Struthio camelus: one gene and its partner. Each later gene encodes a partner of the first gene's protein in a complex. Links are inferred from orthologs where the notes say so. Each region holds a gene or a part of one and is shown on either strand. Other genes may lie near its edges.

The links. The genes of interacting proteins can lie anywhere in the genome.
Region 2: the proteins of JARID2 (region 1) and AEBP2 are in contact, whole or in part, in a cryo-EM structure (PDB 8VNZ), measured with the Homo sapiens proteins. The link is inferred for Struthio camelus from reciprocal best matches to the Homo sapiens genes JARID2 and AEBP2. Residues at the interface, in NP_004964.2 of Homo sapiens: Ser148, Lys151, Pro152, Lys153, Thr154, Glu155, Asp156, Leu158, Thr159; in NP_001107648.1 of Homo sapiens: Arg407, Ala410, Ile411, Asn414, Leu415, Glu420, Ser421.

The regions. Positions count from the first base shown.
Region 1 is NC_090943.1:98,477,811-98,487,977, forward strand, and holds the start of JARID2 (protein Jumonji), read left to right. Parts: upstream 1-5,585; 5' UTR 5,586-5,600; coding exon 5,601-5,684; intron 5,685-10,167.
Region 2 is NC_090942.1:73,481,270-73,491,232, reverse strand, and holds the start of AEBP2 (zinc finger protein AEBP2), read right to left. Parts: upstream 4,127-9,963; coding exon 3,429-4,126; intron 1-3,428. UniProt on the Homo sapiens protein: Acts as an accessory subunit for the core Polycomb repressive complex 2 (PRC2), which mediates histone H3K27 (H3K27me3) trimethylation on chromatin leading to transcriptional repression of the affected target gene.

The DNA.
Region 1 (10,167 bases):
GGTTGACTCTGGAGGGTAATAAAAACTAACCTGTAGAATATAAATCCAGTGTTTTGGGCTCCTTTATAAATTTGTGTTACTGGAGGAGAGGAAGAAATATTTTATGGTAAAAGGAATACATACAATGAAGATATTAATAAGATAAAAACAAGGAAACTCCACCATGCAAATGTCAGGCAGTTCTGAAGCACTTTGAAGGCACAAATCTAGCTGGAAGTTTCCAGGATGAAAGTCACTATCAAATTATAGCTTTCCTGAAAATACGTGATCAAAGGGCAAACATTGACATCAGTAGCAGTTAGCCTGCAATAGTAACATCTATAGTATTAGCATTCCATTAATTTTGTAGACCAGTTAAACTTCAGTATTTAAAAGGTCAGTCTCCAAAATGCCTACAAGCTAAGACAGAAGGGCAAGTTCCACAGCAGATACGTAATACAGAGCATGTACATGACACAACACTTGGCAGAACAGGACACAAATGTAAACAGAACTACGGATCTATGGTCAAGGTTTCTACCACCCATTCTAGAGAAAATGCTTTAGTTTGCATCGATAATAGGCTCCTGTTCACTACATGAAACAAAACCCAGTAGCAAACACAGCAGCACTGAGACAAGGCAAGAAGGCAAGACAAGCACTGAGACAAGGCAAGAAGTTGCCAAAGTGAGAGGGGGAGAAAATAGTTATTTTTGCTACCTTATGTTATTTGAAAAAAGCCAGGGAGGTTTGCTACAAGAATTTTTTGCTTCATTTTTGACTCAGAAATACACGTATGACTAACTTTGCCTCTTCTCATTTTCTGAAATGTCTCCTAGAAAGTCACAGACTCATCAATCTTGATTGAAGACAACCTGAGACAAATATGTTTTCTTCCAAACATGTCCTAGGCCTTCAATCTACCTAAACACTTTAATAAAAATAACTGAGGATAAAAAGTTAAATAGTCCTCAAAGAAACTTGCGTATTTCCAATTTAAAGGTAGGAACAAAAATCTTTTTAGTTACACTTTGAAATGATGTTTTCCAACAAGAGTCTTCAAGAAAAGGCTTCAAAAAATTAACTTGATCTCAAGTAGCATTACCACAAAAACTTGATGTTGAATGAGGCTGAACAGAGACCATTTTCCCCAGCTTAACTTATAGAATAAGACTAGAGAGGAAGAAAAAGAATAGTAAAATAACTAGTAATGAGCATGGAAAAGTGAGGGGAAAACTAAGAAAATATGAAATAACTTGCTTTCTTTTTTTTTCATTTAGTGTTTTAAATGTCATTTGTGTCCCATTTCTAGGGTGAGTGAGCACAGTGTTCTCTCTTATACGTGTTTTAAGGCAGGAAGGACGGTCTTGTGTTTGAAGCAGAAGACTAGGAGTCAGGCAACTGAGGTTCCCCTGGGGACTCTTGGATCTCTTGCTCTCCTGCACAGCAGCCCTTCAACAGCCTTACACAAAAGTTTTTGCGTCCACAGAGCGGAGGTAATACCTTACAGAACTGATATGAACACTAGCTGCATTTGGAATACACGGTAAAGTCTCTGAAGTGTTACATAAGCGTAGATGTTAATATAGACGTACATCGCCTGGTACAGGCTGAGCTGTATGGAAAGCACAAGCAGCCACTGACTTCAGTAAAAGTCTTCCTGATACATCACCAGGGGAAAATCAATTATTCTCCCTCCTCCCTAACCCTAAAACAGATGCGACTCCCCCCTTCCAGAATTGTTGCCTTTACTTTGAAGGTCCGAGTTTCATTTTGCAGCCGGTTCCCTGCTTTCTTTACCGGGAAAGTCGCGTACTTGAATTTTACAGGTTTTTGCTTTAAAACTGCATTTCCAAGTCACATTACCATCCATCCACTTTTAACACCGAAGTCAGCTGGGTGCCCGACAGGACATAAAACACCCCCGTCAGCACCAGGGCTCCCGCAGACGAGAGCAGCCTGCGGCGATCAGCCCAGCCTGCACAGCAAGCTGCGCACGGGCAGCGGGTGCCGGCCAGCCACCCCGCAGGAGCCGCGGGACGCCGCAGCCGCCACCGCAGGCTCCTCTCCGCAGCCGCACCAGGCAATTCAAACCTCGCAGCGAGGCCGCTCCCGGCCCGGCCCTACCGCTGCAGCCGAGCAGCCCGGGCCCCTCCGAGCAAGGCGGGCAGCCGCGGGGCTGCGAGGCGCCGCGCAGGGCCGACGAGTGACCTCAGGACACCTCCGAGGCACACCGAGCAAATCTCACGCCAGCCGGGGCAGCCTGTCCTGAGCTGACACCGCCCGCCACGCCGAGCAGCCGGCTCCTAAGACCCGTCACCGGCGGGCCTCGTCGTCTGCGGCCGCGATTCAGATAAATTAAGTTTCGTGCTGCACCTCCCTAACCTAACCCAGACGCATTAATCCTCGCACTCTCCCAACAGTCCCCCACGGCGCCTGCCTGCCTCCTTCCCCCCCCACACCCCCCATTCCCTTTCTGCAAATCCCCAATAAACTTCCCTCTCTCCTCCTCCTCCTCGGCCGCCCCCTCCCCCGGGAGGCGGGTGGGGCCCGCCTCGCCGCCACCTCCGCCGCCGCCCAACCGCCCCTCGCGCGCCCCCTCCCTCCGTCCCCCCCCCGCCGCCTCCACCACCGCGCGGCGCGGGGGGGGTGAGGAGGGGCAGGCCAACGGGAGGAAGGCGGGGGGGGGAGAAGGAGGAGAAGGGAAGGACGAGCGTCGCGAAGGGGGTTCCGCGCGGAGCAGCCAATGGGCGGCGGGCAAGGGGGGGCGCCGCGCGCGGCACGCCGGGAGGTGTAGTTCCCCGCCGTCGCCATTTTGTGGCGAGGGAACTACAACTTTCCCGCGAGCAAGGACAATTCTCGGGCCCTGCGCGGAGCCCCGCCGGCGAGGCCAGGTGCTGCCAGCGCGGCGGGCCCCGGTGCATGCCAGAGCAGGGGGACGTGAGGCGGGGCAGGGCAGGGCAGGGCAGGGCCGGGGCGGAAGGAGAGACCTTGGCAGACAGGAGGAGTGAGGCTGCTGCGGGGCGGGGAGGGGAGGGGGGCAGGGCAGGGCGGCCGAGCGTGCTGTGCGTTGAGGGACCGTCGCCAAATTCCCCGCTCGGGCTGTGCTGCAGGGGGGCAGCGGCGACCTTGGCCGCCGAGTGGCCGCACTTAAAAACCTTAAAAAAAAAAAAAAAGAAAGAAAAAAGAAGACGAGGGGGGAAGAAGGAAAAAAGAAAGGAAAAAAAAAAAAAAGGAAGGCGTGTGACGCTTAACCTGCATGAAGTGTAAGCGAGGCCTGTTGCATGCGTTGAATGCAGCGAGGCCGGGTGTTGCGGCTGCTGTCCCGGTTGGGAGTTAAGGCCAAGCCCTATCTGGGGTGTGTGTATGTATGTGTGTGTGTGTGTGTGTGTATATATATATGTATATACATACACACACACACACGGGCGCGCGCGCACACACACATACACACACACACATACATATATATTAAAAAAAAATCAGGTCCATTTAAAGTTGCTGCCGGAGAGCTGTTCTCATTGGTTAGGGGGAGCTGGAGGAGCAGAGACACACACAGTGCGTGCAGCCCTCGCTGCTGCTGCTGGGGCTGCTGCTGTTGCTGCTGCTGCTGCTGCTGGGGCTGCTGCTGCTGCTGCTGCTGCGAGTTGTCTCTGCTGCTTTCCCTGCTGCAGCAGCACAAACGTGACTTCCAACATTTTTATTTATCTTCTCCTTTCAACCCCGTTCCTTTTCCAAGATGTAACTACAGCTCTGACACTAAGGACCTGCAGATCGCTTAGGTGGCTTGAGCAAGAGAAAAGGGGATATCAAGGGCGTCGTTTTTTGTGTTTAGGGGGAAATTTTCCATTACAATGTTTCACTAAAGTGATTTTTTTTTTTGCTTCCTTCGCATTCGTCTCTTCTTCTTCTTCTTTTTTTTTTTTCATCCCCCATATCTCGGATTTATTGCTAGGAGAATCACATTGTGAGGAAAGAAAGTCGGATTACAAGATACCACTACAAACAACCCCCTCCCCCCAGGATTTTTCGGTATTTTTTTTTTAAATTGTCGCGGCTTTAATTCATGAAGCAATTGTCCCCTTTTGCAATCAGAATTTGGATACCAGAATGAGCAAAGAAAGACCCAAGAGGAATATAATTCAAAAGAAATACGTAAGTGGTCATAACATATATCATTTGACTCCCAGTTTTAGGAAATGGCAGTGAATGTCAAGTTTATAGCTAATCCTGCAGCTCTAAGGCTTTTAAAACAAATGTAATGCTGAATTTTATTTTTCTGTGGTGTGGTGGGGGAGTTTCATAGGCCCCTTTTAATGGGAAAACCTTCTATGCAGTTTGGTTATAAAACCAGATTTGTGTAGCGATACCTCCAGTGAATAAATGTATTGACCTCAAATGACACAATCATAATCTAGTTTTAGATGAAAGGCAGGGAGCTCGGGGGGCTGCTGTGATAATGTAACGAAACTGCATTTTCAAGCGGTTTTATTAATATTGCGCTTTGCATGCAAAAGAACATATTTGACGATATGCGTGTGTATATATTCCTGCCTGGTGAAGCCACTGTGGTTGTTGAAAGCCCTTTAAGTTGAAATCGAGTGTCTGGTTATGGCGAGCTTGTTTCTTGCACTACCACATCAAATCTAATGTATGTGATCGTTTGCTTATCTGGCTCGCAATAGAAAGCAAACCAGTTGGGGATCGTGTTGCAGGGAATGCGTTTGTTGGGATTGCCTTTAATAATGGGAAAATGGCTCGGTGTAGTTTAAAAATTCATTATGATGGCTTGAAAATTTGGGAGAATACAGTGCAGCCCGGGCTGTATTTCTGTCTCTCTTTATTCAACCGCTTAACCAATCCCTCGTAATTGTCTAATCCTTTAAACATATAAATGTGCATGGATAGTTGGATTTTTGTTCGTGCTCCAGTTACGTTTTGATTGGCATAGGGGAGTTTTTCTTTACGTTTGGAAAAACTGAGGGGATTAGCCAAATATGCAGTAGAGCGAATAATGATTTTTATCTGCATGTTTAAAAAATTCTTCATTTTGTGGAGAGAAAAAAAAGGAGTTGCTTTAGGGTGTGTGTGATGCGACACTTAAAAAGTTGTAGTTTATATGGTACGTATCATTTGTGCTATTTTTTTCTGCGGGGGGGGGGGATATGTGTGTTTCTTTGAAGGGAGGGTGACCTTCGGGACACTTTACCTTGTTATTATATAGATTTCATAAAAACTGCAGTTGACTTCAGATGACTGTTTCTATCGATTTTCGACCCATTAAAATGTAATTTAGAGGGACGTGAGATTAAACAATAATTAAAAACTTCAGCCTATTCTCCGCCGAATTTTCGAATTAAAATATATCCGCATTGCAGAGGAATTGGGAGTCTGAAGCTGACTAGTTTAAAGTATTGCATCCAAACAGGAACATTGTGTAGAAAGTCTAGCGAAACATGTAAGACGTCCACGTTTCCCAGGCAGTGAAACAAAGCAGAATGGGGGGGGGGGAGGGAGGAAGGAGGAAATTGTGATGTTAATAATTAAAAGGAACAGGGTGGGGGTAAACACCCCCAAACCTGTTATTTCTAAAACCTTTCGCAGGTTTGTGGGAGCGAACAATGCAGCGTTACTCTGGCTACACTCATAGCGCTGGGCAGAGAATTAGTAAAACTACTGTCAGCCCCTCAAGCCCCACGGGGGAGGTATGAGGTACACATGTGAGCATGCTAGGGGAGACAATGTATCTTGTGTTACAAGTTTTAACTTGGCGGCGGCAAATCGCTTTTTTCCCTTTTTTTTTTTTTGCGCCTCTTTTTCCTTTTTTTTTTTCTCTTTTTCCCTTCCTCCTCCTCCTCTCTTTTTGGAAGGGGGAAAGAGAGCGAGCGCGGGGAGGGGAAGGCGGGGGGAGAGTGCGGGGGCGAGCGGGCTGCCGTGCGCCTCGGCGGGGGCGCGGGGGGCGGCGCGCGGCGGGGCGCGCTGGCGGCGGCGGCGGCGGCGGCAGCAACAGGTTACGCGGGATGTCAGCGCGAGCCGCGGGCTCCCGGCCACGCCGCCCGGCCGGGGCCAGGTTCGCCTCGCTCCCGTGACGTCACAAAGGGAAGGGCCTGCGCGCCGTGGAATCTTCGTCGCCTCGGCGCTCCGGGGCCCCCCCCCCTCTTCCTCCTCCTCCTCCTCCTCCTCCTCCTCCTCCTCTCCCGCCCCCGGCGTGACGTCAGAGCCGAGGCGGGCCGCGGCGGTTGGGGCGGGGGGAGGCCCCGGGGCGGCGGGGGCCGAGGCCGGCCTGGCCCCGCACCAGGTGAGCAGGTGCCGGGCTCCGCTGCCCTGCCCCGGCCCAACCCGGCCCGGCTCGGCCGAGGGGCGCCCTGGTGACCGTGGGCCGCCCGGTTTGGGGGCGCCCTCCCTGCGGCGAAGGTCTCTGAGGTCCTTGGGCCCCGCTTCCCCCCCCCACCCCCCGCCGCCTCCTCCCCCCCCCCCCCCCGGTGGCGGTGCGCGGCTTGGCAGCGCCGTGGGGCGCTGCGGGGCGAGCGGCGCCCCCGCGGGTGGCGGCAGCCCCCGGGATGCTGGCGGGGTAATGACATGGCATGACACCTTTCTTTTTCCTGTGACCTTTTGAGCGGTGCAGCATCATAGCAGAGCATGCTGGGCAACGGCTTCCTCCTAGCAAATGCCAGGCAGGTCTTTTGTCTGCCTGCTCGGGCTGCAGGTGCGAGCGAGCGCGTGCGCACCCACAACTTTGGGCAGCTGTCACCTGGCCCCAGCCTTCGCAAAGGTGACTTGCGCCGGTGGCTGCACGCGTAACCCGCCCTCCCCAGTTAGTCTTTCCTCTTTTTGCCTCTTCACCAGTAATGTCCTTCGGCTTCGCGTTGAGGCGCAGTTGTTGATCACACACAAAAGTGCGTCCTGGGTCTTTGGGTGACTCACAAGTTGGGAGTCCGCGCTCAACGCTTCAGTAGATCTGGAGATGTTGTCGTTTTAGGTGACCTGGAAAATTTGCCACTTGAAGTTCACAGTCGCTGAGGAAAGGCAGTCCCTCTGTATTTTACTGTCATGAGTAATCTTATGATCTCTTTGTATGGAAGAGCTGGCTGCTAGGAATTCCTGTGGAGCTGCTGTACGGGAGCAGAACAATGGTCCACCTAGTGTCATATACTGCCTGTGTGGCTGGCTGAATGTGATGCTTTATGGTAAACAAAGGTCTGAAGTAAGAAGGTATGACAGTCGTGCTAGTGAGTAATACCTTGTCATAAGTAGCAAGACGATGAGCAAACCCACTCAACTAAACAAAAACAAAGTACAGGCTTGGTGGTGTGCCACAGAGCTGAGATCCTCACATCACTGCCGACTGTCATATTGCAACTGGCGTCTGTTTAGACCATTACTTTTCATTTACAAAATGAATTCTGAAAACAAAAAGGCAGTGAGAACAATGGAGTAAAACCTACGTGTTGTAAGCTGCTTGCTGCTTCCGTACAGCTTGACTTGCTGCTTTGTAAATAATGGTAATTAAAAGTTCCTTTAAACTTTGAATGTATTATCTTTGCAACTGTTAACCCAGGAATGAGGAAATCCGTGTATATATGTCTTTTTTTTCCCTGCTCTTTAAAAATGATATCACTTAATTTTTAAAAGAACTATGGCTGACTCATACAAATCTTTCTTCTCACTTTACCCTCCTCCTTCTCAAACATCTTTACATATCAAATATTGCCTTTTGGCTCAAGCCTCAGAAAACTGACAGCTTTGTAAAGCATCAGCCGAGAAGCCAGACTGCATTCGGTATGCGCTTGGAATTAATAGTTCTTAAATAAAAACCTTTGAAGTCTTAAGCATAATTTCACAGGTGCATTTTTCTGCCCGTTTTTGTGATGTCAAATAGCAAATCTTCTGTTCTTTCTGGTTTAGGTCTTGAAGTAACAGACCTGGATTACTGTCTTAAAATACTTGCATAGTTCTGCCACGGTAGCAGATGGCAAAATATAATTAAGTAATAATGTCACTACTGTCTCCTTGTGTGATTTGTTTCGTTGTCCTTGCAGAGGTAAAAGTGCTGTAGTCTGCCATAAGGTGACACGCTTCACCTAAAGACAGCCGCGTAAGCCCCTCAAACAGGGTCAACGGGGCCTGTAGAGAATTAGTGTATTGCAGACATCTGAGGAGAGCTCCTCTCAGTGCTGCCGGTTTTTTAAACAACACTTTGTGCTTGGGGGCGTATTTATAGCACGATCTGAAAGAGCGCTACATATGTTTAAGTAATACGTGTATAAATTGTGTTACAGCAAAATCCTCAATATCTCTGTGAGAGGAGCAGGCACGAAATTGCCTCGCTTATCAGATCGGGTTCTTGAAACCCGGCTGCTGCGGGATGCCGCCAGGCTGCAGGTGGGTAGGTGGGTGATGGTGGCCTGTGGGGCTCCCGGCGCCTTCCCCAGCGCTGTGGGGTGGGGGGCTGCCCGGGGCAGGGGGCAGGTGGTGGTTTAGGGCTGGCGCGGTGGTAGGGCAGCGCCACCTCCTGAGGGACGGACGTTTTGTGTGCAGGGGCACAGCAGACTCGGGGTGGGTGCCTCCGTCCCCCCAGGGCTTCAGCCCCTCCATGTGGGGTTTCCTCTTTTCCCACCCTCCCCCCCCACCAACGCTCTTGTCCAGGCCCAGAACCAAGGGGGTCTTCTGAGTCCTTACCAGTTCCTGCAAGGAGATAGGTAAACCCATCGGTGATAGCAATAGTAGCATTCATTATGCATTGTTGTTTATTTCGGATGACCTTCTGCAGCTTTCTTACGCTGGGTGTTTCTTAGGTTTGCGGTGACAATTCCAGTGTCACACCTCCTTCTGCAAAATAGCATGCTGTGGGTTTTTTTTTTAATCTGTAGATTTTTAGCTAACAGTGTAAGAATGCTAGTCAGGCTTAAGATCTGTCTTAGTTTGGGTTCTTTTTAAGCTCGTTAAGCTGGTCTGTTGAGATGTTATGTTGCTGGTGGCTATAGGGTGGCATGAACTAGAAACTAGTAATTTTTTTTTTTTTTAATGGACATGAACTATCTACTGTGAACAAATGCCTCGCACTGAGGTACTAACAGACTCCTGCTCACTCCAATGGACTATAAGCCAGAAGTCTGTGTAAGATGCTCTCCAGAATGAATTCTAATGAATCAAGAGCCCTGTGAAAAGTTCTTAATGATTCATTAGGCACTTTCACCTCTTTTAAGAGGTCTGCTAAGCCAGTATTAAGAATATACTACCCTTTCTTTTTCTATGGAAGTAAAATAATAGTTAATATTATGAATGTTAAAGTGTGGTATAAACGTCAGCTGATTTTGTAATGCAGTAGCTTTCCCTCCATTTTATTGTTTGATGAAACAGAAAGAAGTCTAAATTACTTGCCTAAAGCAACATACTGTAACCGTGGCAGCGATGGAACTAATCTGTATTTCTGCAATCTAGTCCAATACTCTGTCCTGTAGCTTATGCTATCTTGCTATAAGGCACAGCATCTGCTACAAAGGCAGTACTTGATGTGGTTCAAACTTTCTCTGTTCAAGGCCTTTTTTCCTTAGTTACGGTCTGGACTCACTGTTAGATTGCCAGTATATTTTTAACATAATACAAAAAAAAGCAAGATGCATTTCAGTATTGGTTCTTCATTTTTTTTGAGTGATGATCATACGCTGCAGCTGATAAAGACCAGTTGATAATCGTGATGACTCAGCTGTGGGAGTATTACATAAAGTAGGTCAAATTTTAAATCTCATAATATGAAACTAAGAGACTCCAGATTTTAAATTTGTATTTTGTTTGTACATATTACTGATATTTCCTGGTTTTAACGTAACTGAAAGTTCTGGGGGAGTACTTTTTTTTTTTTTATTTATATTCTATAGTGACCGAGTTCAATCAACTTTAACTTGGGGAGAGGGGAAACACCAGCTGCTTTCATTTCTTAAGTTTCTAGTTTGCATCACTCAAGTGAAAGGAAGGCTTAAATGTAATTTTAATATAGGGAAAAGAAAAACAGAGACACGTTTCTTATTTTTTATTAGAAGTACTCAGCTTTGTGTGATTTAGCAGATGTGGCATTTGCAGAGGAATACATGCACTGCTGCAAAATCCAAATTTGCATTTAAAACATTCTGTTTTTTCCTCTTGGCCTTTGCATGGCTTTCTTCTCAGCTATAAATGTAAACCAAGTGT
Region 2 (9,963 bases), on another chromosome or scaffold:
ACCACTAATACTAAGCTGAAAATGCCATCTTGTTATCCTACTACCAGCTTGGATTTTGCTTTTTAGGTTTTTTTTTTTTTTGGTGGTGGTGGGGATTTATTTGTTTAAACAAAGTATAAAATCTATCTGCATGGAAACAGCTGGTTAAAATTCACCCTAAATTTCAGGGCATCATTTTTTGATATTATGTTTGTTTCTTTTATTGTTGTCAATACTTACAAATTTCCTATAGTAATGCCCCCAAACATCTTTTTTTTTTTTTATTAACACATACCCTCAAAATCCATTCAAAATATCAGTATTAACAGTAGATGAACAGTAGTTAAAAAATTTTCTGCTGAATAGGAAAAACTTGCGAATGACCCAAACACATGTAGTATATTTTTATATTTCATACCATCTCACTCAAAAATCACATGGATAATTCATTGATAATTGCAGAACATGATAAAAGCATGCACAGAGAAAAAGGAATTTGATCACTTATGGAATTCAGGCCCTCTCACCACACCCTCTTATTTATTCAAATTTTCTAAAGAGGAAGCACAAAAAAGAAATCCCAAGCCTGAGGGCACGACGTGAATGTTACCAAACCTGCCTACAGCAGTCTTAACAGGAGAATCTTTACCAACTATACCCTTCTACTAGTTTCCCTTTGCTTAATCCTGGGACTATACAAGTCAAGCATGCTGGTTCAGTTTTTCTTTCTTTCTCTTCCCTCCCCCAGGTAATCATACTATGCAGTACACGGAGACAAGCATCGGCCAAGTTGTTTAGGACTACAGAGGCAGAACTTCAGAAGTTCTATTCAGGACACAATTAGTCAAAGATCATGAAACACCATTAAATATACTATTTCATATAACACTTAACAGATAAATTTAATATCACTTAACAGATAAAATATCATTCTCTATTAGTCACAGATTTTATACTTTAATACAAAGATGCCCAAATGAATGAATGGTTAAATCTTTAAGGATTTTATTATTTAATCATAAACCTGTACGTCCCTTTATAAGTCTAAACTATCCCCAGCTCTTCCCTAGTACTTCACCATCCTACCTTTCATGTTCTTCAGCTTTTCTGCACATCCCCTACCTTCTACAACACTCTGCTTATCTGGCTGACCCTTTAAAAGGCACATGCTATTTTCTGACTCACTGCCAGGGAACAGCAGTCATTTGGATCAGTAGGTCAAGCAAGTAACTTGTTGGGCTACATGTAGCAAAAATAATAAGGCAGTCTACCAGGCTGCAGCAAGGAGTGCACCTAAAGTGAAATTTTCCATCATTAGGAATAACAAATGGCATTCTTAGTAGTATTGCTCTTTACCTGTCCAATTCAACTAACAGGCTTGGAAATTACAGTGAAGTGTCTGTGAACTACAGTGCCTTCCTGGCATCCCCATGTTTTCCGCCTAGAAGCTCAAGACAAAACTTTACGAAGATTGAAAAGAAGGTACAGTCCTTATTTAAACAGCTGAATACAAAGGATTCACTCCTGCAAGTGAATCTGTACCAATGGTATTGCAAAGGAGCAACAAAGAGGTATACACATAGATATAACTATGTCACTACAGCAAGAGAAACACAAAAACAATGATAGAGAAAGAAAGTAGGACACTGGCTTTAGAGTGCACAAGCAAGACATAACATCAACTCTACCACCAGAAAACCCCGTGCAACTCATTTCTGTTATTTTCTAAACTCATAATTGGTCTGGACTCGGGACAGATTAGGATCAGATTTAGATTAGGCGAAAACTAAGAAAAGATTATCTTAAAACTCCACTACGTATCTGCTGTTTTTTCCAGAAGCCTACTCCCGTATTTATGTGATTTCATGTAAAATCTCAGCTTTCACACACACAAAAAAAGCTTTCTAATCTTGCACAGTATGGAGAAAAGAAAACGTGGCCCCAGTGAACCCTAAAGTCTCAAAAGTCAGATGGAAACCAAAGAACTGAATTTTTTTCCTCTGTAGTCTGAAGACTTTCAGGCCAATTACATGGTTTTGGGGAACTGACTCACAGGGGTTCTCTTTAGTTGTTTTTAATAACTGAGGCTAGATCTACTGACGCCACACTTTTGAAATACGGGTACTTGTATAGGTATACGGAATTCAGTCTAATGTATTCGGAAAATACGTATCTGGACCAAGACACACAATTCTTCACACTTTAACAATGAACTTGTCTTAAGAAAAAGTTTGTTTGATTTAAATCAGATTGTAGTTTTTACTTAACTGTAATTCTAACAGGGAAATGAGATACTTTTTTTAGGCCAAACTGAGATGAAAAATAGCACACTAGCTTCTTAAACTGTTTGAAAGGACAAACCAGAAAAGAGACCTACACTATTTTAAGTATCCTATCTTCAGCTTAAGCAACCTATCTTCAGCTTGTCAACTAAACCATAGCACATACATCTGAAAAAGCCACTAGATAAACCACAGTCTTTAGAAGTACTTGACATAATAGACTAGACAATACCTGAAAGGTAGAATTCAATCACGTGCAAGAATTTGTGCCTTTCCACAAGAATTAAGCTAAAGTCTCAGTACAAGAAAGATGATCCAAACCCCAAATAATCTTCACATTCATTGCTACAGAGATAACTTTTACATTTGATTATTACGCCACGCTTAATACTGTGCAGGCTTATTTCTTGTGCGTGCTTAATACTGAAAGACTAGCTACCTTTTTATTTTGGAAAAGCTATTTTTTCCCCCTTGCGCTTGAAAAGATTGACATTCTGTTCGTTCGTAGCACGGAGAGGCTCACACGGGCGCAGGCAGAACAAGCCCACAAAACACTTCCTACCCTTAAGCTTTAGGGCATCCCGCCTGCCCTTCAATGCAGGACACAACCTCAGCATCTTCCAAAGAGAAAACACCAGCTTCCAAGGGAAATAACAGCCAACCACTACCGCCTAAGCACACGTTACTCCGTGCTGCTCGTAACCCAGCGGGGCACTTGCGGCGGTTATCAGCGAGGCACCTACCCAAGTGAGTGACTTCTGCAGCAGCTCGGCGGCTCCCTCGCAAGCGCGCACGCCCCGGGTCGGCGGGGCAGAAGCGGCAGAAGCCCCCGAGGGCCCCCGCAGGCCGGCAGGGCCCGCACAGCCGCGGCGAGGCGAGGCGAGGCAGGGCGAGGCGGGGCGGCGGGCCGGCTCTGCCCCGCCGCCAAGCCCCGCACGCCGGGCGGCACAAGTTGGCCTGGGAAACCTGTGGCTGCCGGCCGCCGCCGCCGCCGCCCCGCGGGCGGCGTGACAGCCCCGGCCCCGCCGCCGCCGAGATGGCGCCCGGGGGCCCCCGCGGGGGAGCCCGGGGCCGCGCGGCGGCGGGACATGGCGCCCGCGGCAGGGCCGCGGCCACCGGCGGAGCCCAGCGCCGGCCCTGGCCCGGGACGCGGAGGGAGGCACTGACCTGTCCTCCGAGTCCATGCGGCTCAGCGGCTCCCCGTCCGACGACATCTCCAGGCTGCCCCGCCGGCCCCCCGACGTGGCGCTGCAGCTGCTGCTGCCGCTGCTGCCGCCGCCGCCGCCGCCTCCGCCGCCGGTGCCGGTGCCGTAGCCCTCGTCGCCGCCGCTGCTGGACACGCTGCTGGAGCTGCTCCCGCCGCCGCCGCCGCCGCGGCCCAGCCCGTCCTCCTGGCTGCCCCGGGGGCCCTTGGGCTCCTCCTTGGCGTCGGCCTCGCTGCTGCCGCCGGGGCTCAGCGAGCGGGTCTCGTCGCTGCAGCAGCCGCTGCTCGTGCTGCTGCTGCTGCTGCCCACCAGGCTGCTCTCCTCCTCCTCGCCGCCCTCCTCCTCCTCCTCCTCCTCCTCCTCTTCCTCCTCCTCCTCTTCCTCCTCGTCGTCCTCGTCCTCTCCGTCCCCGGCCTGGCTGGCGCTCTCCGGGCTCGGCTCCGACATGCTCTCCGCCTCGCCGTTCAACAGCAGCAGCGACTCTGCCTCCGCTGCCGCCGAGGACGACGGCGACGACGAGGCTCCAGCCCCGGCGGCGGCAGCGGCCGCCGCCTCCTCCTCCTCGGCCGCGGCGGCGGCCGCCGCCGCCGCCGCCGCCTCGCCGGGCAGCAGCAGCAGCAGCCCCTCCGGCTCCGCCATGTCGCTCAGAGCGGCCGCCATGGCGCCTGCGAGTCGCTGCGAGCGCGCGCGCGCGCGCGCACGGGTGGGGTGGGGGGGGAGAGGGGGCGGGGGCGTGCGTGTGTCCCGGGCGCGCGCGCGCGCCCGCCCGCCCGCCCGCTCGCTTGCTCGCGCTTCCCCCCGCCCTGGCCCTCCTCACCCGCACAATCGCGCGGCGGCGCGAGCCGCAGAGAGGAGGGGCGCCGGGCCGCCCGCCGCTGCCGTCGCCGCACGCGCTACGGCGCGCGTCCGGGGACAAAAACCTCGGAAGGGCGGAGCAGTGGCTCCTCGCGTCGCGTTTCCAGAGGGGGCGAGGGAGGCGCGCGGGAGGGGCGTTAACGGCCGAGCCCGCCGCGGGCGGAGGGGCGGGGCTTCTGCCTCGCTCCCAACGGCTCGCAGCGGGCGCGTCATCGCCCGGCAGCGGCAGCAGCAGCAGCCTTCCCCTCAGAAAAATCACCGCGTCGCGGGGGTGGGCAGAGCCGCTACTTAGTCATAGGCAGGGGGAAGTCCCGCAGGACGAGCCCGGGAAGGGAGAACAAGTCCCTCCCGGCCGCGAGTTGCGCCAGCAGTCTCGTCGCCTGCCCTCACTGCCCTCACTCGCACAAATAACCCCAGCGGCGCGGCAGCCCCGGCTTCACTGCCGCAGCAGGCTCCTCATCTTTTTAAAAAGCTGAAGTTGGGTAGCCCGGTAGTTGTGGGTAGCCGGCTGGCCGGCCAGGGCAAAGAGAGCGGGAACCACAGCTGAGAAAAAAACTTAGCGAAATTTCTATCCATGAAAGAAAGGGGAAGCGGAGGAAGCTGTAGGGACGCCAGGCCTGACTGGACTAATAGTTACTAAAGGGAGTCGGAGGAGGGGACAATATGGAGCTTATGAGAAAGGGAAAAACAAGGCTCCTCAGCAAAGAGAGCTACAGGGTACAGGTCAAGATGTGACATTACTGAGTGGGAATTGTCAAAAGACAAGCTCAACTGAGGCACAAAGGAGACAGAAAAAGGTTTTCAGCAGTACGGAATGGGATGAAGAAGTAGGCCAGCTATGCAGTGAGGGGGGAGCAAAGAGAATAAACTCGGTATGGCCTGAAACCTCCATCTTCAGTAAGGAGCGTGTTGGCTGTGGGGGCATAAGCAGTATGACTGACTAATGGCAAATGCAAAATGGAAATGATTGCATTTAAGTGGAAGTAAAACTAAACAGTTTAGTGTACTAGAACTGGGGAAACTGGATAATCTCTTTTTGATAAACCAAGTTTCATTTTGGAGGGACAGAGATTAGTAAACTTGTTAAGTTTGGCTCTGTGCCATCTAGTAACAATATGTGGTGCATGTATTTAAGAAGGAAAGGTGAATGATAAATGAAAAGATGATTGTCAATCACATACAAAGACTTCAGAACAACTGAGAAAGGCATTTTAATGTAAACATAGAATGGGATAAAGTTTACTAACGTTAGATCATGTCAGACTAACCTGACTGGCTATTTGACAAGCGTTTTAGTTATGTAGACATTAAGAAATACTTGATAAAATTGTCATGTGGAAATGATTAGAAAAGGTTGATAGGAGGGGGATTTGCAGTAAAACAGGAAGGTGGGTAGAAAAGGAAAAAAAAACAGATGAAATTAGGCAGTTTGACAAATTTTTAGAGGGATGAGGGGAATAATTGAATGCATAACATACCATTCCATATGAGTTTTAGATGTCACATGCACATCTTGTCAGTCTTTACCCAACTCTTACAGAGCTTGCCACATTTAAAAAATTATGAAGTGGTGGTAGTTTAGTTTAAAAGCAATCAACAAAACACAGAACCACAACTCAATCCAGAAACAATATTGTGCAAACTGCATAATAGGAAGAACATCACCAGTTCAAGTTACAGCAAGCGTATCCGGCATATCCACAGAGATCCTACATTCAAGCAAAAGTTAACCGCACTGGGTTAAACTCTGGAAAGGGTGCTCCTAAGACCTACATTAGCATAACTGGAGTTGTTTTCTAGCCCATCAACAAAGTAGTTGTTAGCAGCAACGTCAGCAATCTCTAGCGCAGCAACATCAAAATAGAATGTCACGGTAGTGAAAGAGCAACACGGTACCGGAGCGAAGGGACAGGGCATGGAATTAATTTTAAAGTCAAACTAACAACATCTTTAATGCGCGGATGAGTATAAGCAATTTTTTTAAAAAACAACAACAGTAAAAAAGTCATGATAGTTTTTCAGATTTCTAGAAACCAGACTCAGCCTGGAATGGAACTAGTCTAGAAAATGGAACTGGTAAGAATGCTTAAAATGAGCAGGTAGACAAGACTGAAGATGAGGACTGCTTGATCCCAATTAATCTATTTAATAGATGTATCATTGCTCTACTAAGTCCATTAGAATAGTCACCAAACTCTCAGCTTCTGCATCATCTCTGCTCGCCCCCGTTTCCCCACCTGAAACAATTTGCTCTATACCTCCCCCTTCAGTTACAAAGGTGTGGCACTCCTGCATGGCTGTTACTGTCACTAGTCCCATCACACAGTAAGAGTGAGGTTTAGAAGAAAAAGAGAACCCTTTTGACTCAGTCAAAAGGCAGCAGTAACCAGAACAATTCCTATGCCTCTTTACCCATTAATTCCTTTCCTTTCTAGAGTTGTCTAAAGGTCAGTAGCATTGAGGGACAGAATCAGAGAGGTACCAGGTCATGAGAAACCAAAAACGTGTAATGGAGCTACATAAAAGGCACCTTTCACAACCTATGAATATGAGCAAAAAAGGAAAGAAAAAAAAAAAAAGTTATTTATCTGAAAGAACTCCATGTACCTTAGTGTACATTGTCCAAATACATTCCACAATATCAAATTTCTATACTCTTTTTTTTTATTATCCGTCTGGGTTTCTTGAGGTCATGAGTGCCCCCAAGGTTCCTCGTATTTGTTATTTACCAAAAGCATACTGGCTGATTCAGACCTCTCACTTTTCACTCTCCTAAGTGGAGCAGTAGAGATGCCAGTTCATTAGGTAGTCATTTGTTTATTCAAAGAGGGCCAGTGAAATGAACCTCAGGGCACAAATGAATAGGAAGGACAGTATGGAGTCTGCCTAATGGAAAGCAGTTAGCATTTAAGCAAGAGATCAGTACCAAAGGGGTTAGTACTGCAGCAGTCATCAAAGGAATACTCTTTGATGATCTCTTGGTGTGCTGTTCTGTTTTCAGGACCACCAAATCCTCAATCCAGACTTGGTGCTTGAGCACTGCAATAAAGTCAATCAAATACAAGCAGCAGCAATGGTGACTTGAGTCTCTTGTTATTGAAGTTTTTCCTGTGACAAATTTTCCAGCTTAGCAAAGGCAATCTCCTTTTTCTCTATGGTTTTTGACTTTTTGAAACCCTGGCTCCAGTCTTGAAAGAAGAGCTCTGTGTGAGAACAGGTGAGTCTAGAACTTGCAAAAGCATCAAAATTAGTTATATTTAAATGGTCTAATGAAAGCTCAAAGCAAGGGACATGCTGTTAGGAAATCCTTTAGGAAAAAAAGAATTTACACATCCACTTACTTACACTGTAAGGGTGGATGTTACTCTCTCATTCACACAAAGGGCTGCCGGTATGCTCGGTCTAACTTGGTATGATCCTATTACAACAGAGACAATACTTTAAAGCTGAAGGACTTATGATGAGACATGCTAATCTCTGGTACTCCAAAGATATTCTCAACAAGGTACAAAAGTAAACAAAAGTCAGTAGATAAGCTAGCTAAAGCTTGTTCGTGGTAAAGCGTCCAAGCAGAATCCTTCTCCACTAGCAGAAGAACAAACAACAAGCTTAACAAATCTCTGAGAGAGATTTATGTTGCATTGCAGACACAGCAGAGCAGGGAGAAGAAATTAAGAGCATACCTGTTATTGTCTTACCTCAGGAACACAAAGGTGCAGGTGCATTCACTTTGACAGCAGAGTCAATGATGAGCACGCGCACTCCGAAAAAGTAATTTCTTTTCTTGAGTCGCAGCAACTTTGCAGGTTTTTGGTTTTTTTTAAAGGACACTTCAGTGAGATCATCAGAAGTAGCTCAGCTTTGGTACTTTTTATGCAATGTTTTGAGTTTTTTTCCTAATGTTGATCAGCATCAAGATACTCTTATAAGGTATAGTATGCAAACAAAATATTTCAAAACAGAGAGAAAGGTCTATAAAAAGAGAGGGAAAAAAATACCATAGGCATAAGATACAGGAAAAATGACAGCCTGTCTTGTACTTGTTAGAATGCATGGGGGAAATTCTGTAAAACAAGACACTTGGTCACTGACCTCTTTTCTCCTCCTCCTGCCTCCGCATGTATGTCTTAAACACTGCAGGAAATTCCTGCTGCCTGAACCTCATGACTCACCTTGCTCACAATAATCTGCCTGCTCAGCAGCCTCTGGACACTGCACCCTTCCCTTTGTGCCCCACCCTGCCCTGTCCAAATCCAAGGTCTCGAGGAAGAGGCTGCAACCTCCCGTTCCTTCAGCTAAGCATCCAGCACTCATTTCTCACCCTTCTGTTCAGACCAAACTGAAACTACCTCATACCTCATCCTTCAATTGCATTTCTAACCCCACCCTCTCCTCCAGCAGCCAGTTAATCCTCCCTTTAAACTCCCTGCACTCTTTTTCTTTTTAAAGTTGCCTTTAATCTTTCCCCATATTTGTTTAGAAAGCAGGGCAATGACCATAAGAAACATCACGTCTCAGTTAGGTTGGTTCGAGGAAGCCTGCTGGGAATGCATGTTTGCCTAGAGTCCCTCTTCTATAGCCCCATTAGGCTGTGACCCAAAGCTGAGGCTGTAGACTAGCGTTACAAAACACTCTGTGGCAATATTGCTAGGGTCCTTCTTCCGCCTCCTCCCTTGCCCATGTTTTGTTACAGCTCTCCTGATGACACACTGCCCCTTCTGTTGGGCCTGCACAGCTGGCTGTGAAATTCATGCCATGAGCTAGACCAGAGAGCTAATTTCAGTGGTAACTAGGAGAAAAAAATTAAATGGCGTTCTGGTGATCTTGGATCATGAAACTTGAGAAAACTCCAGACAGCTCAGTTAAATGTAACTATGCCCATTTGGGGAATGGGAAAAACAAGGAACAGAGAAATTTAAAAATCACGAGGGCTACAAAAAGAATTAATAGCTGGTTCAGGAATGGGAAACCCCATTCTATCGTTCTGGAGGTTATCCAAAAACACGTTCTAATATCAATTATATTGCGTTTATACTACCATAACACCCTGAAAACCCAGGGCATCTTTGTGTTAAGTTGTATATAAGTACAAATAGTAAGAGGAAGCCCACTTTCCATAGACACTGTGATATAATCAAAAGGAATCAGATACATTACAAATACATAAAACCTCTTCTTTAAAGTCTACAGTAACATTAAATTTGCTACCACATGATACTGAAGGAAAACAAATGCAAAAAGCAAAACAAGTAAGAAAACATGAAGATTCCTTATAAGTGAAATATTATGTGGCTTTAAATTCAAGGAATTAGAATGCCTCATAATGCTTTTCATTTATAGGGTTTATAAGCTGTTGCAAAAAAACCCAAACAAACACAGAATTTAAAATAGGTACTATGTAGCTAAGATGAGCTATTAGTTGAGTATTAGATGAACTCTTAGTATGAGTATTATTGGCACCACTGAGAACCAACTCAGAATTTGCTTCAAAAGCAAACATGACTTGCAATATTTTTTACACTGGTATATCTATCTAAGTATTAATCCTGTCATCTTGTGCCAGAAGCTAAAAATGAGATGTGCTCTTCTTTGAATCTATTCAGAAAGTTTTCCAAATGCTGCACTAGAAAATTTAAATAGGT